Linked DNA regions of Arabidopsis thaliana. The protein of the gene in region 1 interacts with the protein of each later gene in a pairwise test. Each region holds a gene or a part of one and is shown in the gene's direction. Other genes may lie near its edges.

Region 1 (5,853 bases):
GATTCTCTAGTAAAAGTGCTTCTTTGACGAGTCAGAATGAGAATTTTCCATTCATATGGTATTCTCCAGAAGTTCTAGAGGAGCAAGAACAGAGTGGAACTGCAGGAAGCCTTAAGTATAGTGATAAATCTGACGTGTATAGCTTTGGGATGGTTAGCTTTGAGCTTCTGACAGGTAAAGTACCATTTGAAGATAGCCACCTGCAAGGAGATAAGATGAGTAGAAACATTAGGGCCGGGGAGAGACCGCTTTTTCCATTTAATTCACCAAAGTTCATAACAAACCTGACAAAACGATGCTGGCATGCTGATCCCAATCAGCGTCCAACTTTCTCATCGATAAGCAGAATTCTCCGGTATATCAAACGGTTTCTAGCTTTGAACCCGGAATGTTACAGTAGTAGCCAACAAGACCCGTCCATTGCGCCTACTGTGGATTACTGCGAGATCGAGACAAAGCTATTGCAGAAGCTTTCTTGGGAATCTACAGAGCTAACCAAAGTTTCACAGGTTCCTTTTCAAATGTTTGCATATAGGGTTGTGGAACGGGCAAAAACGTGTGAAAAGGATAATCTCCGGGAACCATCGGAATCAGGAAGTGAATGGGCTTCGTGTAGCGAGGATGAGGGTGGGGCAGGATCAGATGAGCAGTTGTCATATGCCAAGGAAAGAAGATTGTCATGCTCCTCAAATGATGTTGGTATGAGCAAGAAGCAGGTTTCAAATCTTCTGAAAAGAGCTTCTAGCCTGAAACCAATTCAAAAACCAGGTGAGATTATCATCAGCCAATATATATATATATATATAGGCTCCCTAACAAATATGAACTTGGTTACTTGTACTAATTTTTTTGTTTTGTGTCACTAGCCTTTGGATTCTGTTCAGGGACAACTCCGAGAGGACGATCAAGGCATCCGCCACTAAGCCCTTGTGGTGGGCAAAGCATGAGAGCAAACTCTGAGAGTCAGCTGATATTGATAAGCCCAAGGATACGACGATCAAACTCTGGACATGCCTCTGACTCTGAGCTTTCCTAGTCTGCAGGGAAAAAGAATAGGTTCATAATAGCAAGTTCAAAATGCTGTACAAGTCAAAAGACATACTAACTCGTATGTGGTGACACACACTCCACTACATATCTATCGAAAACGATAAAATTCTTCTTTATTCAAAGTTTCCTACAGATACTACTAGGCTCGTATATTGTTCAGGCTAGTGACTGATTGATTCAGTAGCTACTAGCTACAATATTATCTTAAAGGAAACAAATCATATGAGGCAAAATTATGTGCCTAGACTGTAGAGGCTCAACGCTGAAGTGAAGTAAACTAGGCCTGCTCCACTATTTCTACAATCTATCAAACACCATCAAATTACACTAATCAAATTTTGGGCTTCGAATGTGGATAAAAACATCAAAAATAAGGAACCTTGACTAATCTGCCTGAAAATTACCTTAACAAAAAAGGGGAACAGCGATTCCGCCGGGGACTAGAGACATGGCGTGGTTCGGAGCTTTGGCTCTGTCTCTCGTCAATTTCAATATCTCCGCCACCGCCGACTCCGTCACATCCATCCTCCGACGCTTTTATTATGTCATTGATTGTGATATGACCAAAAAGTCCCCACTCTAGTTTTAGATGAATGAAGCTATGATTTCTTTTTTTTTTTTGGTGATAAGTACGTTATTATGATTTTAATACCAACAGATTTGTCAAATATAACATTATAAGCAAGTGGAGTAAACAAACTAAGCAGCTGATTTGTACAAAAAATACTTTACAGCTATAACATTTGTCATTGTCACCCTAATATAAAATACAATTCCAACAACTAAAATACATCTCTAAACTTTTTAAAGATGATGATGATGAAAAGAATTCAAGTTATGAGCACGTCTGGGAACATGGCACACCATCTATTTTGACAAGATAATATTATACAATACATGTATAAAATACGTACACATTCATCGTTATAAACTAAACCCACCATGGCCATGATGAATAGTGTGTGTAGTTCAAGGTATTGTTGGTTTTGGAGCAGCGAGACACAAATATATCAAAGACCTAATTTGGTACTTTAACTTTCACCTTTCAAATGCAGTTAAATTCGAATCGATCCAACCAATTCATTAGTTACTACTATTTTTATTTTGTTGCATTATTTTTGGTCGTCACGTTATCTCTTGGTCAACTTGACCTGGTAAGACTCATAGTTTCTAGATATGTCAAAATTCTTAAACTCCATTGTCGATCTAATTGTTCCTAGTTGGTAGATTCCCGGGAAAACGAAGCAAGAAAAGTAGAGCTATTGTTCGAAGTCTTTTGATTATTTAAATAAATTCCTCTGAAATTTTCACAAAACTCCTTTAATATTAAAAAATGGCTGCGTCAAAGAGACTAAAAGCTTGATTCTCACCGGAGACGAAGAAATTGCCCAAAAAATATTCATAATACTGACGCCGGAATCACTCTTCTTCGAGGTGCGTTTGATTTTCCTATATCTCTCTGTCTTGTCTTTCCCGTTTTGGATGCTGTGCAATCATGGAAACTCTTGAACTAGTCTCTAGGAAAATTTTAAGATTTGCTCTACCATGTTACTATTCGCGGATTGGAGAAGATTCGATTAGAGAATTTGTTGATAATTTCGGATTTTGTTTGAATTCAAGGATTATTATTTCTGTTGCAGTTTAAACAAGCAAAACCCTAGAAGCTGGTCTTCGTCGGAGAATTTTTGTTTTTTTTTTCCGATGAGGACAAGCGGTGACGTTTATGGAGCAGATACTGGTTCCTCAAGAAGTGATGAAGACAGAGGCTTTAAGGAGGATCTCAATGAATCCGCTACTAGCCCGATGAGAAATCGCCTAGACGATTCGAATTCACGACCTGGTTCTCAGAGATTCGTCAAGAGCTCGAGAAAGGAGGAAGAGACTGATTCAGATTCTTCTTCTTCTAAGAACACAACCACCAGAAACAACCCAATTCAGTACACTGATAAACAACAAGCCGAGCTTTTGAGAAAGCTTGATTCTATTAAAGATCATCTTCTCCGTGGTGGAGGTAATAATGCTACTGTTGTTGATCAGCCACCAATGGGTTTCCATGCCCATCATGGACCTCCTCCTTCTTATTACAATCCATACCCTGAGCCATTTCCTTATGGAATGTATCCTACCGCGAGTAACCAACCTCATGTTCCAGCTTATAGAGACCCTTATGGATTCCCAGTGCATAGGATACCTCAAAACTTTTATCAAGGACCAAGTCATTACCCTAATCAGATGCCGCCTCGTCCACCCTATCCTCAAGGACAGTATGTAGACATTGGCTCTGATATACTTGAGTCACAGTTACAGGACCCTAGATTCTTTCCGGGTACGCCAAGTAGGTATGGTGATGTCCCATTTAGCCCGGCTTTGCACCACGGTGAGAAAGTTGGACCCTTTAGTCCACATGGTGGTGTTCACACGAGGTGGCCTAGTGAAATTGATTCTGAAATGGGTGGTGCTTTTGCTCGTGGGTATGTTCAACAAGCTGTGTCTGATACTGATTCACGTCGTTGCCATCCTCTAGCAGGCGGTGCGCCTTTTATTGCTTGTCACAGTTGCTTTGAGCTGCTATATGTGCCTAAGAAGAAGCTTCTTGGTCAGGAAAGGCAACAAAAGATGCAATGTGGTGCTTGTTCTGAGGTTATCACGTTCAGAGTTGTTGATAAGAAGCTTGTTTTCTCATCTTCTGCCCTGGGGGAAACTACGAACCGGGTTTCTGTAGAGGTTGAAGATAGAAGCTCACCAATCCCTGTGGTAGATGATTATCCACTCAATGATGAAGAACCAAGAATACACCAGGAAACGAAAATTGTCCATGCTGTATCGCCTAGTGATCACTCAAACGATGAAGACAGGTCAAGCATTTCTAGTGAGCCGCGGAAACAGGTCGTCAAGTCTGTTCGCAGCAGAGCCCAAGGCGCGAAGGTTCCTCCTCCTCCTCCTCCGGAAAAGTCCAATCTTCTTGAGCTCTTTGAGTATTCTAATGTAAACCGAGCTGCAATCACTTACGGAATGGCGCAGTTAGGGTACTATAAGCAAGAATCATACACGAAACAAGACTCCCTGAAATCAGAATCAGTAGCTACTGAGACAGATGTTTCTTATAATGAGTACTATACTAACACCGAGGAGTCTGAAGATTCAAGGATCTCAAAAGCCAGCAAAGAAGGGAGACGACCAAGAAACCGAAAGCAGAGTAGTGAGCACAGTTTCGCAGAGGTCACAAATAATATCAGTTCTAACGACCAAAACAACGAGCAGCTAGAGGTTTGGGTGAATGGGTATCTGATACCAGAAGATCTGGTTATTAGCGCTGAGAAACAAGCTGGGCCAGTTCAAGCTGGCAAATACTGGTATGTTTGGGGTTACGTTTTGATAAATCTACGTCAAAAGAATTGATCAGTCGTTCAAGAAACCATCTTTATGTTATGATTCTGACCAGGTATGATTACCGTGCTGGATTCTGGGGAGTGATGGGAAACCCTTGTCTCGGTATAATACCAGTAAGAACTTTCACATCTCTTCTATATTGCTTTGAATTCCAGTACACTGTTTCATAATTCTTTGTATTGATTGGTACTTGATGAGGAAATGGGAAACAATTGTTGGTTGATGCAGCCATTTATAGAGGAGTTTAGTCGACCAATGCCGGATAACTGCGGTGCAGGAAACACGAGTGTGTTTGTAAACGGAAGAGAGCTTCACGAGAGAGACCTAGAGTTACTATCAAGTAGAGGTCTTCCTCGAGGCAAGAACCGTTCTTACATCATTGATATAGCAGGAAGAGTTCTTGATGGAGACTCTGGTGAAGAACTTAAGAGTCTTGGCAGATTAGCTCCAACGTAAGCACAACACAATTCCATGTAATCAAATTTTTACATCAATCATTTAGTTGATTCTGAAATTTTATGGTTGAAAATTGAATCAGGGTTGACAAGGTGAAGCATGGATTTGGCATGAGGGTTCCAAGATCATTAGTCTCGTGAAGCTTCGTCAGCTTTGTTTTGACCTCTCTGATTTGTAAATTATTCTTTGTGATTGATATATAACACATCTTTGCTTATATTCTGACCCAAAACTTATTTGCTATTCTGTTTTTGGGTTTAGTTTCTTTTTTGGGGGTTCTCTTACAATGTTCCATTCTTTCTCTTACTTTTTTTTTTTTTGTCTAAGAGATAAACCGTATGGTTTTATATCTTGTGATCTGGTTTATGTAAATTGATCATTTTTTATTGTGGATAACCTGTTGCCTGTTGGGAAATAAAATAATATTTGTTTGATTTTGTGACAAAAGATAAATGTATATATTTATAGATCTGTCCAGGCTGTGTGTACTTGTTAAATCGTTTTCAAGAAAGAAAACACACTGGTATGGTAGATCCAAAATCAACTTCAAGTAAGATGGGTCCACGTAGCAAATATTTAAAGCCCATGGAATAATTTATTCACAATGGGCCTCGTGGTCGTGGTGTACCCTACTCCATATAAAAAAACAGAGTCGATAATCTAGTCTGTCTAAAACGACTAATTCATGTCTAAAGATTAGTTTATGTTTTAAATCACCGAGAACTAATTCTACCGTCTAGATAGAACGATTTTTTTTTTTTCTCTAGATAGAACGTTTAAAACAAAATTAGCATGAAAATTACCACGGTTATCAGAAGACAAAATATATTTTTTCGTCTAATTAGATGTGTAAAGCATAAACTAGATACTAATTTATATACTCACAAGTAGTTTTAGTTACAAGTTTCAACCATTAAATCTAAGTGCGAGGTCTCTGTCTTTAGTTGAAAAAAGAGA
Region 2 (4,770 bases), on another chromosome or scaffold:
CTCTACTGGGAATTCAACATGATAAAAAAATTCAGACCTGATATCAAAACTCATCAATTTATATCTAGAGGTAGAGTTATATATGTTGTAGTAGTTTCCCCTGGATAATAAATCAATGTGTCATCCCTGGTAAGTGTAAAGGACTGTCTTGTGGTAGGGTTATATACAACTACCTTAAAACCAGACAAACAACACATCAAACCGTAAACATACTGCGCCATTCTCCCAGGGATTGATAGTACTGCTTCTATGTCCGTATTTGGAGGATAAGTAGACGATAAGCCTAAGAAACATTCCACGTAAGGGCCTGAATCGAAGCCGAAGATGAAATGGGCATCATGAGGAGGCTGAGTCAAAAATCGAGTCACTATCGATTCTATGAAGTCTCTACGACTGCTGATAATGGATGACCACAGCTTCGAGACAGATTTGAACCTCAATAGTGCGATTTCGCCGGGAGTGTTTTTAGTCACTCCACTGTCAGTATTCAGAGGGATATCGATAACTCCGCCGTGAAGAAGTAGTGTCGGCGAGGGTGAGGTCTCGTTGCTATTCTCTTTGCGTCCTCTCGTCATCATCTCTGTTTTGTCAAACCTTAGACTAATGAACGAGGGCTCTCTATATAGTATATAGTATATAGAGTTTATTGCAAATAAGGCATTTGTCTTAGATATATATTTTATTTTAGGCACTTTTAAAATGATCTTTAGATTTAGGCACTTCTTTCCTGGGGAAAGTTGTTTTTACCCTTACAGAGAGATGATGTTGCTCTTTCTTTGTTGATGAACTTTTACGTTTTACACTAGAAATCAAAAATACTTGCGACCAACACCAACAACTTTGGAGTCATTGATTACAGAGTGATGTCAGCGACGATTGGAAATTCAGACGATTAACAATTGGTCCTCATGAGATGTGAATGCGATCTAGATTTTTAACATCCCACATTTTGAGATCTGGAAAAAACAACAAGAAACAAAAAAGTCCCACGATTTGGTATTACGATTTGCACGTTTTTTTGTTCAGTGATTTTTGTGCAGGTTAAGGAACTCAAGAAGTGATTGATACTTTGTTGATTGCTCAATTGATGTTCATAATCATGTCTACAAGTACATTGATTTTTGTTCATGTTAATGGTGTTTGATGATAATGAGGATGGTTGTAGTGTTGTGTTATTGTGTGTATGTAAGAATTGTAGACTGTATATTTGACGGTTTGGGTTTACAAGTCTAATTCTAGGGTATAGCGTTTACCATTGACGTCGTTCGTTACCCCTCGCCGTCAAAGCCGTGAACCACCACCAAATCTTTGTGCTACCGTCAAAGCTTCACGTCTACCGTCGAAGCTGCAAATCCACTATCTAAGCCATATATCTCTGAATGTCAAAAGAAACTTAAAATTGAATCAGAGATGGGGATGCATTTTTTAGAAGATAAACGCATTCTTTTCACCTCATTCTCAACTCCAGCTCATAGTTTAAGGGCAAAAATGTCCGTAACAATGAAAATTGGAGTTATTATATGCTTTTACTGTTGTTGTTTTTTACGGCAAAATAAGGTCATCCATTTAAGCTAAAAACGGGTCGGTTTTCTTCGAGAGAAAACTAGTTCGGAGTAGAAGAACTTACATGGGAAAAAATAGAATCTCGTGCTCTTGCCTTCTTACCAAGACAATCAGCACGGACATTGTTTAGAGTCTCTGTTTTGAAAGAAATGTTTTCAAAATGCTTGTTTAGAATATAAGCTCTATATAGTATACCTACACATGTTATCGTGGGTCCAAATAGAAGAGAAAAACTATATTTAAAAAATTAAAATTATATGAGATATTTATTTTCAATGAAAAGGAGAAAAATAAAAAATAAAGAAGGAAAAAATATAAAGTTTCCTTTCCCTCTCGTTCGTTGGCTTTGCCTTCCCGAGAGAGAAAGATAAGATTTGGTTTTGCATTCCTCTTCTCTCTCGCCGCTCTCAATATGCTTCGATTTCTATTCTCCTCTTCCTCTTGATTTTGTCTTCTTCTCTTTGCTGCGGAGAGATTAAGAAACCCAAGGGTTTTAAGCAAGAGACGCGGCGAGGAAGCTATCCAGAACTCTCTGAAACATCCATTCCTTTTTCTCATGGACGTAGTGTTGCCGGAAACTGCCGTGGTAACCGGTGGTTCGGTTATCGGAGATTATGGATTTAATGTGGATCCTTTTCTCGTTGAGGCGTTGCACAACTCTCGCCATCGTCTCACGAGTATGCTCCGTTTCTCTTCTTTTTTTTGTTCTCTGATTCGTGTCGTTTAACCTTATTTCCTGAAATTAGAGCTGATTTTTGTCATCTGGATTAACAAATTTGAAATTTTGATTGGTGGTCTTATCTGAATTTAGCTGGGTATAGTTAGGTTAATTTAACCGCAATTTGGGGATTTTGGGTTTCTCAGGAACTGGCTCTCTTCTTAGATTTGCGATTATGTTGATGCCCATGCTGAATTTAGCTCTCTTCTCTGCACTGTATTATCCATGGTTAATGTTATCAAAGATGTAAACTTTTATTCTGTCCATGGTGTTCAACATTTATAGTTGCTTACCTTTTGTGTGGTTTATGTGGAACTGCTTGTGGTACATATATCTCCTTTATCTGGTAGTAGCTTAGCTTTTGTGTGGTTGTGTGGAACTGCCTGTGGTGTGTCCTGGCTTTTGTGTTTCTTGCTACTGTAACTAAGCCTTTTGTTTTGTTTCTCTTGTTGTGTTAGTTTTGCGGATGGAACTTGATGTTCAAAGGTTGTTGCAGAACCCTGAACAGCAGCAGTTTGAGTTCCAGCATTTTCCTACTTCGTATCTTCGTCTTGCAGCCCATCGTGTTGCTAACCATTATGGGCTAGCTACAGCTGTCCAAGAGAGTGGTGCTGATGGAAATGAAAACAGAATCCTTGTGACGAAAACTACAGAGAGCAAATTTCCTGCTGTTCGGTTGTCTGAAATCCCGGTGGCTAAACAATCAGAAAATGGTAAGTTTGAGAGCAGGAAAGTTTCCATCAAGACTCGACCTTCTAAAGGATCTGGATATGGCGCTGGTGATCTGGAAAAGAATCGTGGTCCTCTTAGAAGTGTTGAAGAGAGGAAAGAAGAGTATGACAAGGCTCGAGAACGCATATTCAGTGGTCTTACTGGTCTTAGTTGTGATGACTCTTCATCTGAAACTCAGGTGTATGAGAGGAATGCAAGTCTTAGCAGAGATGACAAGCAAGTATCTAAGAATGCTTACGTTGAGGTCAAGAAGAACTTAAGCATCAGGGAAAGTGGTCCAACATCTCGTGTTGCAATATTTAGAGACAGAGAGAAAGATCGGTTTGACCCTGATTATGACCGCAGACACCAAAGGTGAGTAACTCAGCTGTTAGTTTACTGGCTAAACCATTACTATACTAGCGAAAAAGTTTCATACATGATGGTTGATGATAATTGTGTGTGTCAATGCAGGTACATTAGGAGCCTTCCGGTGAATCAGAACTTCAATCTACCACCCTTCAACATTCAGCAAATACCGACACCATACTACGAAATGGGATTCACTGGATATAACCAAATTCCAAGTCCTCCTGCTCCTCTTGGCTTCGGACCACATCCTAGCTCAATCATGAGTCCCTATGGCACCACAATGGATGCAATGTATATGCATTGGCCTAATGCAGCTATGATGTATGCTCATCCGTATGAGCAGTTCAGGAATGGCTCTCTTCAGGTAAATAACATTGATCCTTTTTACTCTCTTTGAGCGATCATGGAATAAAAACTTTTGTCCAAATATAAGGACCATATATTGAAATTTTTTCACCCACATGTTTAATATATACTTATGCATAGCTGAGAACTCGTTAAGAGAAATGGATTCTATTAAAACTCTTCCAAAAACAAATGAAAAAAGCAATTGAGTTGGTTTGGTGCATTGTTTCCAATGATTGTCTGAAAGCAGTTGTAACTTGTTTCTCCAGGCACAGTTCGTTCAACAACCCTTGAGCTTCGACTACATGCAGAACCGCTAGGTGCTTGCCTCTTTGTCGATCTTTATCTCTGTTTACCATTTTTTTTTGTAGAACCTAGGAACTGTTGTAATGGAAATTTTGGAGTTGTAATGTCAAAATTCAGAATGAAGAGACCTTTTGTTCCTTTTACAATTATCAGATTCTGTCTATTATGGAAAACCAATGAACTACCTGTGGGTCAAATCTTCATCGAAATTCTCTGTTTTGAATTGAATGTCTTCCAAATCTGCAAAAGCTGTCCTTTAGGTTTGCATTACACAAGATAAATAATCAGCCTTCCAAATCTTTACATTCATGTTATTTGTTCCGTTGATTCGTACAAGTCTGTGAGACGCAACAAAAAAACAATATCTAGTTTAAACAAACACAATACGTACGTTAGTGATGGAGAATTTCCAAAGTTTGCTGGTTTCAACATTTGTTTACGAAGCAATGTGGCGGCGAAGAAACATGGCAACTGATCTCAATGGTGTCCTGGAAAAGTAACAGCATCAAAGTGAGTGTAACTTACAACTTCAAATAGCATAGAGATCAGAATGGATAATAGAGATATATATTACCATAGAGATCGGCTTTTGTTTCCTGGTTGTGTAACCTCCTCTTCTCTTTGTGGGTCTGTATGGACAAGTCTTTGGAATTTTTCAGACAGTGCTTTGTAAGACAGAATCTCTGTTGGTTCGATTTGGCTAATCGCAGCTTTTAAATGTCGCATGCTTATTTCCTCCATTTCAAGACTCTCCT
Region 3 (3,980 bases), on another chromosome or scaffold:
CATCATGGGAAAAGTGGCAGCTCACATGGGAAAAGAAGGAGATGCTACTCCCTTTACAGATGTCACGGTAACTTGCATTTTCCTTAGCTGCTTAGTTAGCATTGGGCTTGGTATTATTAGTTTTGACCAATGTTGTGTCGTTAGGTGGATAATATAAGCAAAGCCCTTCATAAGTGTGGGTACCAAATGCGTGGATTTGAGAGAATGTACAATGGTCACACGGGCAGACCACTCACAGCTATGATATTCCTTGGACCAACATATTACCAAAGATTGAAGCATATGGTTGATGACAAGATTCACTCGCGTGGACGAGGTCCGGTGCAAATCTTAACAAGACAACCAGCTGAAGGGCGATCACGTGATGGTGGTCTCCGTTTTGGAGAAATGGAGCGCGATTGCATGATTGCACATGGTGCTGCTCACTTTTTGAAAGAGAGGCTGTTTGATCAGAGTGATGCGTATAGGGTACATGTGTGTGAAGTCTGCGGGCTCATTGCCATTGCAAATCTGAAGAAGAATTCTTTTGAATGCAGAGGTTGCAAGAACAAAACAGATATTGTTCAGGTAAACATAAACTGTTGTGCAAGTGGTTCATATTCATCTTTATCTCTTTCATGCTCATTTGTCTGATGTCATTTCATCTAAATATTCTCAGGTATACATTCCATATGCTTGCAAATTACTCTTTCAAGAGCTTATGTCAATGGCTATTGCACCAAGGATGCTCACTAAACACCTGAAATCGGCTAAAGGCAGACAGTGAGGAGCTTGCAATCTGATTTTGTAGAAACTTGAACTTTCCTTCTCTCTTGGTCATAGCTTTGTAACAATACTAAATTTACAAATTTGTGTAATATTTCTGTACTAATTCTTAAAGCTAGAAAGGTACCTTATAAGATATATTTATGGATTCTTTAGTAAATTTGCTGCTCCTAATTATTCTCATGGGGCATCCGTATGGGGATTCACTTTGTTTCCTTCTGCTTTCATCATCATTGTGCCTTATCGATGAGCTCAACATTGCGAAATCCATTCAATAGCTGTTTCAAACATTAATGATATCTTTTCTATGGTTTTCTCTATTCCTTCAATATTAGTAGCTGCAGCATATGCACTGAGACGAATACTAAGAGTAAATTGGTCAAAAGAGACTCCATTCTTCTCCATTTCAAGCATCAGATCATCTAATTTTCCATGCACATTCATCTGATTATACATATTCATCATACGATTGTAACAACGTGTGTCCATGGAAACACACGCTTCCTTCATGGCTTCCACAAGCTTCTCAGCTTACGATATTAGCAGCTAAGAAGACTAGAAAAGACCGCAATAATCTTTGGGAATGTTATCAAAGAAAACCTCTGCTTCTCCAAGTCCACAGACTCTTGATATCAAGTTTATGCGTGTACCAAAAGCTTGATAAAACATAGTTTTTTTTTTTTTTTTTCCTCAAAACATAGCTTTTATTTGAGAGTTAAAATGTTCAATAGAAAGATTCAGGTGTAAATTAGATAATAATAAAAGTTTTGAGGCTTAATATGCAATTATCATAAACTTTCAACCTTTATTTGTATTTTTTCATTTTTGTAAAGTCTCAATCTTTGACTATCTTCTTCGCCGGAACCGATGAATATACTGAGACGAATTCCGGCGAATTTGATTGCGAGCAGATATTACTACACTAACAGAGTAAAAAAGACGACACTTTACTCAAAAATCAGTCCTTTAGGAGACCCAAAATCAAGTGTTTACCCAGAACTCCAAAACTGGGTTCAATGCGGTAAAAAAGTCTCTGTTGCTGAACTTATTCGCATCGTTCACGATCTTCGTAGACGCAAACGCTTCCTCCACGCTCTCGAGGTAAGTAATTCTATACAAATCAAGTCTCTTTCCCTCTTTACACCGAGAAAAAAAACTAAACTTTAGAATTTTTCAAATTCAGGTTTCGAAATGGATGAATGAGACTGGTGTATGTGTGTTCTCTCCGACAGAACACGCGGTTCATCTTGATCTTATTGGTAGAGTTTATGGATTTGTCACTGCAGAAGAGTATTTTGAGAATCTTAAGGAACAGTATAAGAATGATAAGACTTATGGAGCTCTTTTGAATTGTTACGTTAGGCAACAGAATGTTGAGAAGTCTCTGTTGCATTTTGAGAAGATGAAGGAGATGGGTTTTGTTACTTCGTCTCTTACTTACAATAACATTATGTGTCTTTACACGAATATTGGTCAGCACGAGAAAGTTCCTAAGGTTTTGGAGGAGATGAAGGAAGAGAATGTTGCTCCGGATAACTATAGTTATAGGATATGTATTAATGCTTTTGGTGCTATGTATGATCTTGAGAGGATTGGTGGGACCTTGAGAGATATGGAGAGACGACAGGATATTACTATGGATTGGAACACTTATGCGGTTGCGGCTAAGTTTTATATTGATGGTGGTGATTGTGATAGAGCGGTTGAGCTTTTGAAGATGTCGGAGAATAGATTGGAGAAGAAAGATGGTGAAGGTTACAATCATCTCATTACGCTTTATGCTAGGTTAGGGAAGAAGATAGAGGTTTTAAGGTTATGGGATTTGGAGAAAGATGTGTGTAAAAGGAGAATAAATCAGGACTATCTTACTGTGTTGCAGTCGCTTGTGAAGATTGATGCTTTAGTTGAGGCTGAGGAAGTACTTACGGAATGGAAATCATCGGGGAACTGTTATGATTTTCGAGTGCCTAACACTGTGATTCGTGGTTACATTGGAAAAAGTATGGAGGAGAAGGCAGAAGCGATGCTTGAAGATTTAGCAAGAAGAGGGAAAGCTACTACACCAGAATCTTGGGAACTTGTGGCTACTGCTTATGCGGAAAAGGGTACTTTAGAAAATGCTTTCAAGTGTATGAAAACTGCCTTAGGTGTAGAAGTGGGTAGCAGAAAATGGAGACCTGGATTGACGCTGGTTACAAGTGTTTTGAGTTGGGTCGGGGATGAAGGAAGTTTGAAAGAAGTAGAAAGCTTTGTTGCATCTCTTAGGAATTGTATCGGTGTGAACAAACAGATGTATCATGCTCTTGTCAAGGCTGATATAAGAGAAGGCGGACGTAACATTGATACTCTGTTGCAGCGTATGAAAGATGACAAAATTGAAATCGATGAAGAAACCACAGTGATTCTCAGCACAAGAAGTCCATGCTAAAAGTTTCTTATTCTTCCTTGACGTGATGATACCAAAGATGTCTTCTGAGACAAGGATTTAGGAATGTGATTTCTTAACGGTTGAGTCTTCCTTCAGCAATACTTATTAGTACCAAATGTACCAAAATTTTATTTTGTTAAGAACACTCTCTAGACTCTGTTTTCATAGCATCTATAGAACAGTCTACAAGAGAATCCTCTGTTCTTTTTTCAAATGCAGTGTACTATCATATTGAATCAGCAGAAGGCAAAGTTAGAGCTTTGGCAATTTGGTTCCATTTTTATTGAAGTTTATATTCACTCTATAACAATTTGCTTTCCCACAAAACTGTAGATATTACACAACCTAAAACAGTTAAGAACAAGATAAATGAATTGTATGACAACAAAACTGTGTGTCTATATATGTATTGTCAAGAGTCATTGGTATTGTGTTGCTCACCAGCTTGTTGAAGCTCTACAACTTTCTCATATCCCACATATTCTCTGAATCTCTTTGGAATGAAACAACGACCACCGAATCTCTGCTGCAAGAAAATCAGAAACGCAAAGAGGAAACCGATGCAGAGGATAATAATATCCCATGCCGTAGAGTAATAATCCATTTTGTGGTTTGCATAAATGAATGACCAATCAAGAATCTTCCCGTAGCTGTGACTTCTATACAGATCATAAGCATGAGGAAGCAATCGAACAAAGCTGTTTCCAACGTAAAACAAAGCAGCAAGAGGCTTCAAGTCCGAGTTGCTGAAACCGTTGAAGAGTATTTGAGGAAGGAGGAATGCGTC

What was found. The genes of interacting proteins can lie anywhere in the genome.
Region 2: the proteins of AT1G01440 (region 1) and AT3G56680 interact in a two-hybrid assay, tested with the Arabidopsis thaliana proteins (one large-scale study listed by BioGRID).
Region 3: the proteins of AT1G01440 (region 1) and AT4G21705 interact in a two-hybrid assay, tested with the Arabidopsis thaliana proteins (one large-scale study listed by BioGRID).

What each region holds. Positions count from the first base shown.
Region 1 is NC_003070.9:159,118-164,970, reverse strand, and holds AT1G01440 (hypothetical protein (DUF3133)), read left to right. Parts: upstream 1-2,017; 5' UTR 2,018-2,484; intron 2,485-2,690; 5' UTR 2,691-2,751; coding exon 2,752-4,403; intron 4,404-4,492; coding exon 4,493-4,553; intron 4,554-4,668; coding exon 4,669-4,892; intron 4,893-4,978; coding exon 4,979-5,036; 3' UTR 5,037-5,343; downstream 5,344-5,853. Other genes in the region: AT1G01450 (Protein kinase superfamily protein), read left to right, coding at 1-866.
Region 2 is NC_003074.8:20,989,418-20,994,187, forward strand, and holds AT3G56680 (Single-stranded nucleic acid binding R3H protein), read left to right. Parts: upstream 1-1,862; 5' UTR 1,863-2,119; coding exon 2,120-2,240; intron 2,241-2,739; coding exon 2,740-3,367; intron 3,368-3,466; coding exon 3,467-3,728; intron 3,729-3,978; coding exon 3,979-4,029; 3' UTR 4,030-4,269; downstream 4,270-4,770. Other genes in the region: AT3G56670 (F-box/associated interaction domain protein), read right to left, coding at 174-578; CIP111 (Cam interacting protein 111), read right to left, coding at 4,452-4,503, 4,590-4,768.
Region 3 is NC_003075.7:11,532,470-11,536,449, reverse strand, and holds AT4G21705 (Tetratricopeptide repeat (TPR)-like superfamily protein), read left to right. Parts: upstream 1-1,582; 5' UTR 1,583-1,632; coding exon 1,633-1,866; intron 1,867-1,948; coding exon 1,949-3,193; 3' UTR 3,194-3,479; downstream 3,480-3,980. Other genes in the region: NRPB2 (DNA-directed RNA polymerase family protein), read left to right, coding at 1-67, 145-567, 659-766; AT4G21700 (DUF2921 family protein, putative (DUF2921)), read right to left, coding at 3,606-3,980.